2 linked regions of the Alligator mississippiensis genome follow. The protein of the gene in region 1 purifies or fractionates together with the protein of each later gene. This does not show direct contact. Links are inferred from orthologs where the notes say so. Each region holds a gene or a part of one and is shown in the gene's direction. Other genes may lie near its edges.

Region 1 (6,847 bases):
ATGTCCCAAACTGACTAGTTCCCATGATTTTCAAGGCTTCTAATAGTTTCAGGCTGTTATCAGACGCTTTTAGAATGAGGAAGCTAGTCAGTTTTGGGGATATGAAATACCGTGTTGCTCGCAGTGCTATAAAGGGTTGGCAACCTACAGTACATGTGCCACAAGTGGCGCTGGCAGCCTCTGTGTGTGGAGCTTGGCAGATTGGGAAGAGGGCAGGCAAACACAGCAACAAATATGGCACAGAGCAGAAAGCAGAGGAAAGGAGTAGACAGGGAGCACAGGGAGCCAGAAGGCAGAGCAGCAGATCACTCAGGGAAAGGTGACTGGAGTGGTACTCAGGGAAGATGCAGGGCTTACTTTGTGGCATGCCAGCCAAAAAGTTTGGTTCCTGATGCTGTAAAGAATGCTTATTATGAAGATACATGAAACTGATTAAGTCCCCTCATTTTCCAGGCTTCTAACAACAGACGTGGAATTGTCTGGCTCCTGTCAATTTTAAGGTATCTAATACCAGCCATTTGACAGCTGCTTTTCTTCAATATTTGCATGCAGATAATTGGAGTACAATTAATGTTACCAAGTAGGCAGTGGATCTGAAGGACACTATGCACTTAACTGATGTGGATACATTATGATTATCGTAATGTAAACAATAGGCAGCAAACTGACAAGCATTGTTATGCAGTTACGTGAATTATGCACATACTGGGTGTGCATGTAAGTAGAGTATACAATGGAATTGCTGGTGAGGGTGAGGTTGAATGATGAAGCATCTTAAAGGCAAAAACAATGGAGGTCGAATCTGAATATACTAGAAAGCAGGAGGCCAGAAAAAGGATGCAAATTAGGAGATATTCTTCTGAATGATCTTTAGAAAGCTGGCACAGGGGGCACATGGGAAAACATTTACTGAGGCCAAAGGTGGTTTTGTCCCCAGTGACTCAAAAATTATTTAGAAGTGAAGGTTCTTCTGGTATCGTTGGGGAGATCAAAAGTCAGCTCAAACCAGTGACTGAATATTCGTGGGGAGAGGTGAAAATACAGGATTAGAATTGTACAGGGGAACATCAGTCTTGAGGTTGGTCTACACTACATAATCTTGTTGGCCAAACAAGTGCCAGCAAGATGTGAGCACATCAACTTTAACTCCTCTGTGGCACCGGACCCCCTGCAGACAACTATGTCCCTTGGAACTGAGAAGGCTTCTGTTGACAGAAGGGATGTGTAAAACTGGCCAGGCCTTCTTTTGGATATCGCAGCTCTTTTGACTGCTGGACCTATCCAGCATACAGTTTGTGCCCTTTCTGCACAGCTGATGACATGGAGCCATATATATATATATATAAAAGCATGTACACACTCCCACACTCCTGCAGCTTCTGTTTTGGCTGCTGTCTGCCACCCGAAGTAGCCAAGTGTGGACAAAGCTTAGCAGAGAGATACAGAGGCTGCTTAGCATCTCACCCAATTCTTGAGACTCAGGACAGTGAAAAAAATTAGCAATTAGCAACAGGAGTACAGCTCTAACTGGATACTCTTCTTTTATGTGAACAGCAGCTGTCTTTGAAAATGTTGGTGGCTCAGCTATAGACTGTGTCAGTAGCGTGGGCACTCAGAATAGCTGCTAAATTTTCAGACCTCCAGCTACTTTCAAATCACTCTTAGCTTCAAAAATTCCTTTGAACTCTGCAGTGCTTTAAAAAAATGTACGGCTAAGTCAAAGAAAAGTGGTGGGTATATGCCCATACACATTACCCATTTGACTCTTTCTTCATTTATATCCTTTTCTTTCAGAAACAAGTCAAGGTGTTTCAAAACTCCTTTATACTGTACACCTTGAAAGGAACTTATGAAAGGTATCGTGAAGCAGCTTGTGCTTCTAATTTAATATACAGTTCCAAACTATTCAGAATATTCAGTTTAACATTCATTTCAAAGCAGAGTCCCAAGCAGAGACTTAGGAACCCATCCTCTAACTTTTCTGCAGGCAGTTTAAACCATATAGGCACTTCTGAAAATCCCACTCTTTACTTTCTGGAGCATATATTAAAAAAATTTGCAGCAGCATGATGTTGGCTGCCATGGTCCCCCTGCTTTACCTGTGGCAGGTTAGAGTGTTATGTCCTGTGGTTGTGTCAGGGTTGTCTGTGTAGTTCTGCTAATAGGTTAGACTAGTGATGTTTACCCCTTTTCCCCAGTGGACTGGATGGACAGTGCCATGGTCCCTCTGTGGGCTGGATTTAGCTTGTGGCCCTGATCCATCCCCGGCCACAGGGGGGGAGGGAAGGATGGGGAGCAGCTCGGCTGCAATCCGAGTGTGCAGGGAGAAGGGGGCATGGCCTGGCACCAATTCTGCCATGTAGGGAAAAGGGGGCATGGCTCAGCCCCCTCCCAATCTGGCTTCAGGAAGCAGGGGGCAGGGTCCAGCCCCATCTGGCTGTGAGGGGAGGGGGACAGAGGCATTTGGCAGCATGGGAAGAGTGGTGGTATTAATAGCCATTGCTCCCCTTCCATCAAATTTCCTGAGCCCTGGGGAGCCCTGCAGACTGGATGCAAAGGCTCTGCAGGCCACATTTAGCTCACAGGCCGGTGCATCTCTGGATTAGAGTAGTGGTTTTCAATCAGAGGGGTGCTGCTAGACCCGTTGAAGGGTGTCATGAAGTGTGAAGAGAGAAGCTGGTAAACCAGGCTCAGGCATGCCTCTTCATGGATGATCCTCCACCTGGGCTGCCAAGGAGGCAAACACTGCAATATATAGTTGTTTTTGAAATTGGGTGCCACTCTATTCACAGATGTTATGGAACGCGTCTCGAGTTCAATGAAGGGTGCCTTGAATCCTGTGAGGGGTGCTTTGGATTAAAAAAGGTTGAGAACCACTGGGTTAGACGATGGATTTGTACGGGATGGTTTGGACAGGGATGACCTTACCTCAGCCAGGGCGGAGGCTTGGACTAGACCTGTAGAAGTCCCTTTCCAGCCCTACTTCTCTGTGGCCCCCTCTACATGGGCAGGTAAAGTTGGGATGGGATCTAATGTGTGATGCACAGAATTGTACATTAGATCCAGTTACACCTTATTACTTGATCCTGGGCTCCCCCCCTGCATTGGTAAGAAGTGGGCTCCTGGCTACAGGGGCACGGGCAGGGCTCTTGATCGTGGCGCAGCTGGGACCAAGAGCCACTTAGTTGTGGGACTCAAGGTTTTGGCTGCGTATGTGAACCCCGAAGTTCCAAGACTCGGGGATCATGTCTGCTGCAATCCTCCAGGCCTGAGGCCCGCTGGGCTGGGCACCATGCGTCAAAGGCCCGCCACCAAGCGGGGTGCAAGGAGGTGCCAGGGCGAGCTCTGTGCTGTGCTCCAGGCACGGCATACCGCTGTAGCTGGGAGCTCTGCTGGGCACCGGGGCTGGGGGACCCTACTGGAGCCACAGGGGGGGCCTGCTGGAGGCGCAAACAAAGCCTGGACGGCAACCGGCTATAAAGTCAGGGCACGTCTAACTTTACAGGTCTAACTTTATGGCCGGCTGGAGCTCAGCATCAGCTGCGCTGCGAACCAGTTTTTTGCTGAGAGGCAGCGAGGGGCTCCCTGCTGCTGCTCCCCAGCAGAAAGGCGCGACTCTTCTCCCCCTCTTTTTGCCCCGGGGGGAGGGCCTCCCTCTGCTCCACTACCACAAGGGACGAGGAGCGGGGGCAAGGCCTGCACCTCGGGCGCTGAGGGGCACAAGAGCCAGCGGGAAGCGGCGCCGCGGGGAAGGCCCCGCTGTCTGCCCGCCCCTGTGATGGCGGCGCCAGCCTCCCGGGCCCGGGCCCGGGCCCGGGCCTCCTCAGCGGCGGAGGGGGCGGAGCGGGGCTGACAGCGCGGCCCGGCCCGGCCCGGTGGCGGCTTTGTTGGTTGGCGGGAGCGCGGGGACCCAGCCCAGCCCGGCCCTGCCCCCCCGCCCCTGGGCTGGGCCGGCCGCGGCGGCAGGAGGCGCCATGGCGGCCGGGCCGAGCTCGGCGCTCCGCGAGGCTGGCTGGTAAGCGGCGGCAGCGGGGCCAGGAGGCCGCGTCTTATGCCGGGGCGCGGGGGGGAGCTCGGGGCGGTCGGGGAGCGGCTTCCCCTCCCCCTTCCCGTCCCTGCCCGAGCCCCGGGTCCGGCCGAGGCCTGGTGCCCGCCGTGGGGGCTGGGCTGTGCCCCGGCCGTAGGGCTCCCGGGGGCACAAGCCAGCAGGGCGGACCCGCGGGGAGGGACGTGCTCCTTGCCCTCAGCCGGGCCCGGGGCAGCCGCGTCTGTGCCTGGCTGTGGGCCCCGCTGCGGCGGGGATGTGGGCGCGGCGGGCAGGGGAAATGGCGAGGGCGCTGGGGGCATTACTTGTGAGGGGCTGAGGGAACTGCGCTGATTGAGTCTGGAGAAGAGGAGACTGCGGGGATTGAAGAGCTGCCTTTAACTACCCCACACGGGGCTGCAAAGAGGACGGAGCTGGATTGTTCTCAGTGGGGGCAGATGACCGAAGGAGGAGCAAGGGTCTCAAGTAGCAGCACGCGTGGGCGACTGGTGCCACCTTAGTCAGGGGGGGCACGTGCCCCTGCACTGGCCAGTCTTCTATTGCGGGGGAGTCCCTTGCAGCCAGTCTCACCAACTGGGGGGGTCTCTGCTGCGGCTGATTGCAAAGCGGCCACTCCTTAGCCAGGGCTCCTACCTGCCCCTGGTGCCAGTCGCCTAGTGGTGAGCGCAGCCTGTCAAGGGGTGCATGTGCACCCGCTGCGTGTCATCACGGGCAGCATGAGAAGTTTAGGCTGGATGTTAAGGAAAACTTTCTCCCTAGGAGGGTGGCGAAGCATGGGAACGGGTTACCCAAGCTGCGGAAGCTCCATCCTTCAAAGTTTTTTATAAGACCCAGATTGACAAGGCTTTGGCTGGGGTGATGTAGTTGGGGCTGGTCCTGCTTTGAGCAGGGGGTTGGGCTAGATCAGTGGTTCTCAACCTTTTTTTTTTTTTGTACCAGGACGGATTTGTAAACATGGGTGGCCAGTCTCGACCCAGTGCCCTTCACTCCTGACCTGCTGCCCCCAGGCTGAAGCCCCCAGAGTGTGTGGGACAGGGGGTGGGTGTGTGGGGCATGGGGGGACCTGAGCAGTCCCATGCAGGCTGGAGCTCTGACAGCCTGCAAGGGAAAGGCCAGTTTCCCATGTTTTTCTCCTTTAAAGGATAATCCATTTTTAAAATTTGTTGACCCATTTTTAAAGTTTGTTCGTGACCCTTTAATATATTCTTTAGACCCATGGTATGAGAGATGCTGGACTAGATGACCTCCTGAGGACCCTTCCAGCCCTGTGATTCTATGCAGAAGGGCACGTCTTCAGAAAGGAGAGAGTGCAGCACAGGCCAGGCAGCCTTGAATTAGGCCGGTGCCTCTCACGCCTCTTTGGGCACTCCTCGATTCTGCTTGAGAATCCCTCTCTGAAAATGCCACCTCCTCCCTTCTGCTCGTGTCTTGCTTTGAGAGTGGTGGAGCTGTCCTGGAGCGCTTTCTTCTTGGCATATATCTTGGCCCACAGAAGGCCCGGGGTGGGGAAGCGGTTTGATACTACCAATTCCTGTTTGAAATATCTGCCTTCATTTTCTGTGTCCTGCTGTGCTGACATTGCTCAGCATCCTTGAAAGGAGTTGTGGGTACCCTAGGGGATGGCAGGGCCCCAGCTGAGAATTGCTGAATTAGGGTACAGAAACTAGGAACTCCTGACTCTCTTTTATCTTTAACTGTTTTTTTTAAAGAGCTGGGTAGCCTTGGCTAGGATGAAATAGCTGGGGATGGTCCCGCTTTGAGCAGGTCAGGGTCCTTCCCAACTCAAGTTTTCTATGATTCTGTGATTTGACAGTGTTACCTGTCTCCGAGTACAATATGTAAGAGACTTGGACTTTTTACTTCTACAGTGCAGAACACACTCTCTGGTTGGTAGGCTTGGTGAACATTGGCAACTATCATTTATCTAATGGTATAGGCTTACCTTGTTTTCTCAACTGTTTACAAACACTTTTCGGCAATACGCATTCCCTATCAAATCCACAAATTGTAAAAAACTGGTTATTTAGCCCCTGGTTCAGAGAATTGCTTAAATTTGCATGTATGGGTAAACTTAAAAAAAATAGTGTGATGTGGTACTTGGAATGTTTTCCTGGTACTGTTCTTTCTTGTTGTGACCTTTTTTGACTGGTGCACCCTTTGCAGCAGCAGCACTCTAGGCAGCTTTTAAACATGTCTTAAGAAATGGTACTCAAAATAACATGCTTCTGGTCTGTGTTGGCATTTAAACCATGCTCAGTTCCAATTCATTTGCACTTCTTGCTTTCACCTCTTGTCGAAAGTAGTCATTTTCCTAGTGTGAATAACGTAATCGGTAAGTCAGATTCGTTCTTCATTTGCTTCTGTGCAACTTGGTTCTCTGTTCCTTTAAATGCTTGAAAAAACTTTTGTGCATTTGCAATTCAGGTAAACCTGTCACTTTTGGAGGCCCTGCACTTGTCAGCTTCATTTCCGATATCCTTGTTTACTCTAAGGTGGAAACAGGAGTTAATGTTAGTTTAAAAAAAAAAGCAAAACCTTTTTGTTAAGGCCCGAGTAAGAAGATATAACTTAACACACACAGGGGCGTAATGTTACTTACAAAGTCACTTTAGAAAAGATGGCACTTTAAGTGGGCTTTATAATGTGATACAATTTTTGTTTTAACCTTTTGTGTAGTTTGATACTCTCACTTGAGTTTTCCTCCCAAACACTTAAAAGTGCAACAGCTTAAATACTGTTAGAAGCATAAGAGGATATTACAGGAATACTGTCTAATTCCAGATCAATAGATCCTTTCACACT
Region 2 (7,007 bases), on another chromosome or scaffold:
CAGGTATCAGCTGTGGCACTCTACCTCACTAGCCTTGCAAGACTAATGAATTTGGCCTGCTTAGATGCGAAACGGGGAGTTTTCCTCTCTCAAACAAAATGGACTTCAGAGCATCTGACAAAGCAGGCTTACAAAAGCTCATGCCTCTCTAAATGAGTTACTTCAAAATACCACGTTGCCCTAATTTCTGCCTAACTTCAGACTAACGCAGCTAACTACCTCTCTAGGACAGTGGTTTTCAACTTGTGGTCCATGGACCCCTGGGGGTCTGCAGACTGTGTAAGGGGTCCATGAAAGATGCTTATGATCAATCAAAAGGATGTGAATACCCACACTTACAATTCAAAGGGGTCCGCACCTCCGTTTGAAACTTCCAAAGGGGTCCACACCTCCATTTGAAATTGTAGGGGTCTGCAAATGGAAAAAAAAGTTCAAAACCACTGCTCTAGGAGAAGATAGCATGTGACCATATAATAGAATACTGCATCATGATACTTATGCACAAGGGGCTCAAACTAAAGGTGCACAGGTAACCTTAATTTTGGTATTTCCTATATTGCAAGTGCTTGATTTTGCATTTATAACATTTTGATATGATTTGTTTACAGTTGGCCTACATCATCAAGGTATCTTGTGGCTAACATTACATAGCTCTGATTTAGTGAATCATAAGCATCTGTTTTACTTTTAATTTTCAATACATAAAATAGTAAATCCTAGTCAGTGGCTAAGTTGTAAGGAGCAGACTTTCCCAACCTGTTCTAAAATAAACCCACACATCAAGTACTATAAAAAAGTGCTCCTTCCTGATTGCTGCTATCCCTTTCTGCCCTGTAGTTCTGCAGAGAGAATCAATCTTAATAAAAAGTATATAGATCAGGTTTCAACCCCTTTCTGCATGCAGATGTGGTGCACAAAACATATTTAAATATAGCACAACCTATTTTTTTGAAGTTCTGTAGCTTGCACTATTTAAAACCAACTGGCATGAACATGACATCTGCATCTGGAATGGATTTTAGCATGGGATGCCCATGCAGTCAACCTCACTCTCTCACCTTCCTTCACCTGAAACCCTTGGGCAAAACAGGGCCAAGACAGCTAGAGAATGGTCAGCTGCAGTTCTTTAGGAAACATATACCTCCCAATGAATCAAGACCTAAATTGTAATCAGGGCTTGTGGACAGAGGTGATATCTTTTATTAGACCAACTGTCTAATAAAAGATATCATTTCCTCTAGACCAATATAGCTACAACCTGGATACCTAACCAAACTGTGGCATCTCCTTCGCTGCTGTTCTTCAAAGAGGCTGAGCAGGCCTGTCTGGGATATTTTAGGAATAACGTGGCTCACATCTGAGCAAAAGGTTGGGCTGATCACCCGTGACATCCCTCCACATCTTATAGTTTTCTGATAACACCAGCTTTCTAGACAGCTTGGCTACTGGATTTACCCAGATGACTGCTGGAGGGCCAGGAGGTGGGGCAGAGAGACAGCCTTTTGGTTAGGAATCAACCACGTTCCTCAAGACTAATTCCCTGGCATCCCCCAAGGCTGCACAACTCACCCATGGTTCCTAACAGCCCTAGTTAAATTAGATGCTATTACTATATATATATATATATATATATATAGATACATATATATATACATACATACATGTATATATATACGTACATGTATATATAAAAACAGAACTTAAAGCTCTTTTAAAAAATGGAAATGTGTTATCAAAACTGGGAGGCTACCAAGCTACTACCTGCCATCACAAACTGCAGGAGCAACCGTCCTTCACATCTACCTGCATTCAGAGACATGAGCTTTCATAGGCTATAGCTTGCCTTGTCAGATGCTAGAAAGTCCATTCCATCTAGGAGAGGAAAACTCAGTTTCAAAACTAACCCCTATATAGAAAATGCAACCGGTGACACAGTGGGGTGGATATATAAGAAATGAGGGAAGGAATATAAGAGCTTCCCATGAGGGAAAGAATACTAGAACTTAAATATAATACAATTTTATTCCTATTTAATTTTATTCCTAACCCCTCAGGATTGCTGTGCTCAGGCAAAGTAAATAAATAAATAAATAAATAAAAAGATGCCCCTAACATTGTCTCACCTAGCACTGCCCATTCCCCTGCTCTCTCCCTCTCCTCGTTTTCTGTATCCTAATTTCTCTCTTCATGCTGTTTCCTGCAAGGCCTTTCACAGCATGGTGAAGCGAGCTGGGGTCCACAAAAGCATGTGCTCTCTCCCTCTATGTATAGATATATAGATCTCCATGCGATTACGTCTTCCGACTGACTTCAGGTCCCGAGTTTATTACAGAACAGTCTGTAAATACCGATCAAATTCCTCTTCATCATTTACAATGGCAAAACTTACATAGCTGAAGCCAAAAATGCAGTTTTCCCCAAACTTTTCACTGGACCCAGAGTGAGGTATCCCCTCGCTGCGAGCCGGCAAGGTTCTTGGGAAAGATGATCTTTTATTTGACCAACTAAATAGTTGTAAAAATTGCTCGTTGCAAGCTTTCGGGCGTAAACGCCCTTCTTCAGGCACGCAGAGTCACCTCACCGCCGTGCGTGCAGCAGTGTACTTCAAAAAAAGCTCCAGCTGGCAACATGTTTTGCACTTGAAACACTAAGTCTCCTCTGTCCTGTCGCTCCTGACCCTCGTGGCCTGTCTGGCACCTAAATAATATTTCTAAATGATGTATTGTGATTTGATTTCCCTTGACATAAAGAATAACACAGTTGAAATAAAAGAGGTCTGACTTCAGACGAGTGCGTGACACCCTGTTTACACCTCAGCCTAGCACGTGTCACCCCGTGTGTATCTCAGACTAGTGCATGTGACACCTGTGTGTACAGACTAGTGCGTGACACTTGTGTGTGCCTGACTAGTGTGTGACACCGTGTATACCTCAGATTAGCGCGCGACACCCGTGTGTACCTTATTCTAGCGCATATGACACCTGTGACTAGGACATGCAACACTCATGTCTACCTCAGACTAGCACATGTGACACCTGTGTGTGCCTCAGACTAGCATGACACCCGTGTATACCTCTAACTAGCACGTGACACCTCTGCATATACCTCAGACTAGTGACACTTGCGTGTACCTCAGACTAGCGCACGTGAGACCTGTGTGTACCTGACTAGTGACACCCATGCGTGCCTCAGACTAGCACGTGACACCTCTGTGTATACCTCAGACAAGTGTGTGACACCCATGTGTACCTCAGACTAGCGCACGAGACCTCTGTGTGTACCTGACTAGTGTGTGACACCCATGCATACCTCAGACTAGCACGTGACACCTCTGTGTATACCTCAGACAAGTGTGTGACACCCGTGTGTACCTCAGACTAGCGCACGAGACCTCTGTGTGTACCTGATTAGTGTGTGACACCCATGCATACCTCAGACTAGCACGTGACACCTCTGGGTATACCTCAGACAAGTGTGTGACACCCGTGTGTACCTCAGACTAGCGCACATGAGACCTCTGTGTGTACCTGACTAGTGTGTGACACCCATGCATACCTCAGACTAGCACGTGACACCTCTGGGTATACCTCAGACTAGTGTGTGACACCCGTGTGTACCTCAGAGTAACACGAGACACCTCTGTGTGTACCTGACTAGTGTCTGTGACACCCCAGCGTGTACCTCAGACGAGCACACGTGACCCCCCGACACCCCAGCTCGGAGCTGCTAGCAAACCCCCCTCCCCCACCGCCAGGCCGCACACCCGCCGCCATGGCAACCCGTCTCCCCGGGTCACCGCCCCCTCTTCAGGCCCCGCCCGCTCCTGATTGGCCGCTCCGCGCGCTCTCCCATTGGCTACCAGCGCGGTCACTCACCAGCGGGACGGGCGGTGGCGGAGGGCGGGGCTTCACCCAGCGCTCGCCGGGTTAGGTTGCACCTTCCCCTCACACGCCCCCCCTCCCCTCTTCCCCTCCCTCCCGCCGTTAACAGGGAGCGGCCCTCCCTCTCGGTCACGTGACGCGGGTCGAATGTTTACCTTCGAGGCGGGCGCCCCCCGCCCCTCCCCCCCCGCGCGCCCGTGACCGTTTCGCTTTCATTTCCGGGCAGCCGCGGGCCGGGGCCGGAGCCGGGAGCCGCCCCTCCCCCCCACACACACCCCGCGGAGGCGGCGCCGGGCCCGACGCGACATGGAGGAGCTGGTGGTGGAGGTGCGGGGCTCCAACGGGGCCTTCTACAAGGTACCGCTCCGCCTATTGTCGGCCGGGCCCGGGCGAGGCCTGCGGGGCCCGTGGGGTGGGCCGCGGCCTAGGCCTAGTCCCGCGTGAGGCCTGCTGGGCACGTGCGCCCTGTGGGGGGGGGGAGGGAGGGAGAAGGAAGAAGGGAAAAGGAAGGGGGAGGGGGCTTTTTTTTGTTGTTGTTAGAAAAATCCCCCCCTCCCCCCTCCAAAAAAAAAAGTTCCCTTGGGTGGATGCTAAGGGGGATTTGCCTCCCTATTTAAACCCCTGAGAAGCCCCCAAAATGTCCATCCTCCCCTGGGGAAAGGGGCGGGTGGGTTGGGGGAGTCGGGGTGGGGAGGGAAATCTCCCGGTTTTAGGGCTGCGAGTTAATGAGCACACGAGGGTTTTTTTTATTTGTTTTAGGGTTAATGACTGCACGAGGGTTTTTTTTATTTTGTTTATTTCTTTTTCTTTTTAGGGTTAATGAGCAGATGAGGTTTTGGGGGGTTTTTTTAAATTTTTTTTAGGGGTGCAGAAAGTGAAGTTTGCGAGGGGTTCGCGCCCCGACGCGCTCGTGAACGGTCGTTTCGAGCGCTGGTCAGATTCGGGCTTCGAAAGCAGACAGGGTTCGGGATCAGGTCTCATTAAATAGCGGGGGGATTTTTCTCAGGGAGTTTTCGGGGTCGAAAGTTGAGGGGTTTCCTAAAAAAGCACGAAGCGTGTTCTTGGCGTGAACAGCTAGCGCCGGGATAGAAAGTTTGGGACGTGCGGACTTCACGTGGGTTTGTCCGGTTCGTGTCCTCTGAGAATCGGCGAATTAAAAACGCGCGATTTCTACTTTTCCATTTTGCTGGTTGAAACCTACAAGTCTTCCTGTTAATTTCACTGGGCGGTTTAAATCATGAGCTGAGTTTGTTGTGTTGGTAAGTATGAAAGCTTAGTTAGCCCATCCAGGTTTATTCATCTTTTGGCTAGAATATTCTTCTTCTTTCCTTTTTACGTTTTGGAGTACGTTATAGTTTGGTTTGGTGAAGAAATAAAAATGTAAAGGTTAAATAAGGGGTGGGGGGTTGGAAATGGCAAATAGGTCTCAGCCGTCCTCCAAAGGTGGCTCAGCAGAAGCATCACATATGCTATAACAAAATCAATCAGTTCTCTAGATTTAAAAAAAAAATGTTTTAAAAGTTTTAAGCATCTATAACCAAAATTCATAGTTGATCCATTCAGGTGAATAGTTTTCTTTTCATTATAATACCTGAGCACTGCACAAATATGAATGCATGTGCCTGGTTCGGTGTAACATGAGCCAGTATTATTCTTATCTTGGTGATTAGGAAACTGAGGCACAGAATGAACTGTACTGGCCGGCATCGCGCAAAGTTTGCAGCAGGGACAAATTCTGGACCTGAGCTTCAGTTACATGACTGAAGGGTAAACTGAAACATTTCTGTAGGCAATATCTTAGATGGATGCTTTTAGAATCATAAGAGTGTAAAAATACTCTTTATCCAATTTTATTTAATGGTGTGTTTATCTCTAGCCTTTGTTGTAAGGGCTTCACTTTCTTTACTTGCATCAAGGTGTAACAGCGGTATATATCTGTAGAATTTCAGTAAGGATCTTGAGAGTCTATTAAGGCAGTTTTGCAGTATGAACTTTAAATGCATGTCCCCGCTGCCTCTGGACTGCTACACTGCAAAGGGGATGTAATATCTCAGGGATGTAGTATCTCTGGCATGTCTATTGGCACATGTCCAAAGCCACACCAAGTGCCACATTACATCTGTTTCAGGACATAACACGCACGCGGAGCCTGTGTCCTGTGTTTCGCTGCTGCGCATCTTGTTGGTGTAGTTTAGCTGTATGCCCTTACAGTTGGTACTGTAAAATGGCCTTCATCCCGCTTTTAAGAACTGTAGCAAAATTCTGTGAATGTGTGCTGCTACTGTATTTTGGTGTAGTGTATGGGCAGCACAAGATGAAGCTCCACAAAAGGGGATTCATCTTGACCTGGCCACCTAACTTCTGCATTAGGCATCTCAGTCCAAAATTTAAATCCTTCAAATTCTGCCACAAAACTCTTCCATAACCCTTAAGGAGTATAAAAAATCTAGGCAACTAAAGTTCTGGTTTTTCCTGTACCCAGCAGCACCTCAGTCTTGACAGTACTTGACAGTTCTGAGCTTGACTTGTGTCTAACCATCATTGGGGTTAGTGGACAGAGGTGCTTCTTGGCAGCCTGTGATTTAGTTAGGTTCTTGACCCCTCCCAAGAAGGTGGGATTTAAGACCTCCTATCCTCAGCACTTCCTGTCACCCTGTTTCAGGTACTTCCCTGCTAAGTGTTCTAATGTATCTCCCTTCCGAGGTACCTAACTTTCCTCGGGTTCCTGTTAAGACCCCAGATGCCAAATACTACAAGGCACTTAAGTGCCTAACAGACTCTGCAAATGCTCATTTACCATGCTTAAGTCCCTTCTGGATCTAGCACTTCCTGGCATGAGTTGGGGGTGATCACATTACTCATGAATGGCAAAGCCACAAAGCGATATTCAGGTCATCCCAAATAACTGGGAGGACTACTGTCACATAGTAATAGTACTTTTATGTATTGTCTGTTATAAAGACAAATGTTTTAGAAACATTCTAGGGAGCTTTCCAAAACTCCTGGTAGTTTTTCTTCTTCTACCAGAATCTAAAATTGTGTTGATACCATGACTGATTGCATTAGTGGAGGGAAAAGAAAAATAAATCTAGAAAGAATTTTGATTGTACAGTGACTTTTGAAATG

What was found. The genes of interacting proteins can lie anywhere in the genome.
Region 2: the proteins of TDRD3 (region 1) and FMR1 purify together in Homo sapiens (affinity purification with mass spectrometry; 4 studies listed by BioGRID and IntAct, with this or other methods). This does not show direct contact. The link is inferred for Alligator mississippiensis from reciprocal best matches to the Homo sapiens genes TDRD3 and FMR1.

The regions. Positions count from the first base shown.
Region 1 is NC_081824.1:401,752,642-401,759,488, reverse strand, and holds the start of TDRD3 (tudor domain-containing protein 3), read left to right. Parts: upstream 1-3,836; 5' UTR 3,837-3,974; coding exon 3,975-4,015; intron 4,016-6,847. UniProt on the Homo sapiens protein: Scaffolding protein that specifically recognizes and binds dimethylarginine-containing proteins. Plays a role in the regulation of translation of target mRNAs by binding Arg/Gly-rich motifs (GAR) in dimethylarginine-containing proteins.
Region 2 is NC_081831.1:75,853,907-75,860,913, reverse strand, and holds the start of FMR1 (fragile X messenger ribonucleoprotein 1), read left to right. Parts: upstream 1-3,992; 5' UTR 3,993-4,187; coding exon 4,188-4,238; intron 4,239-7,007.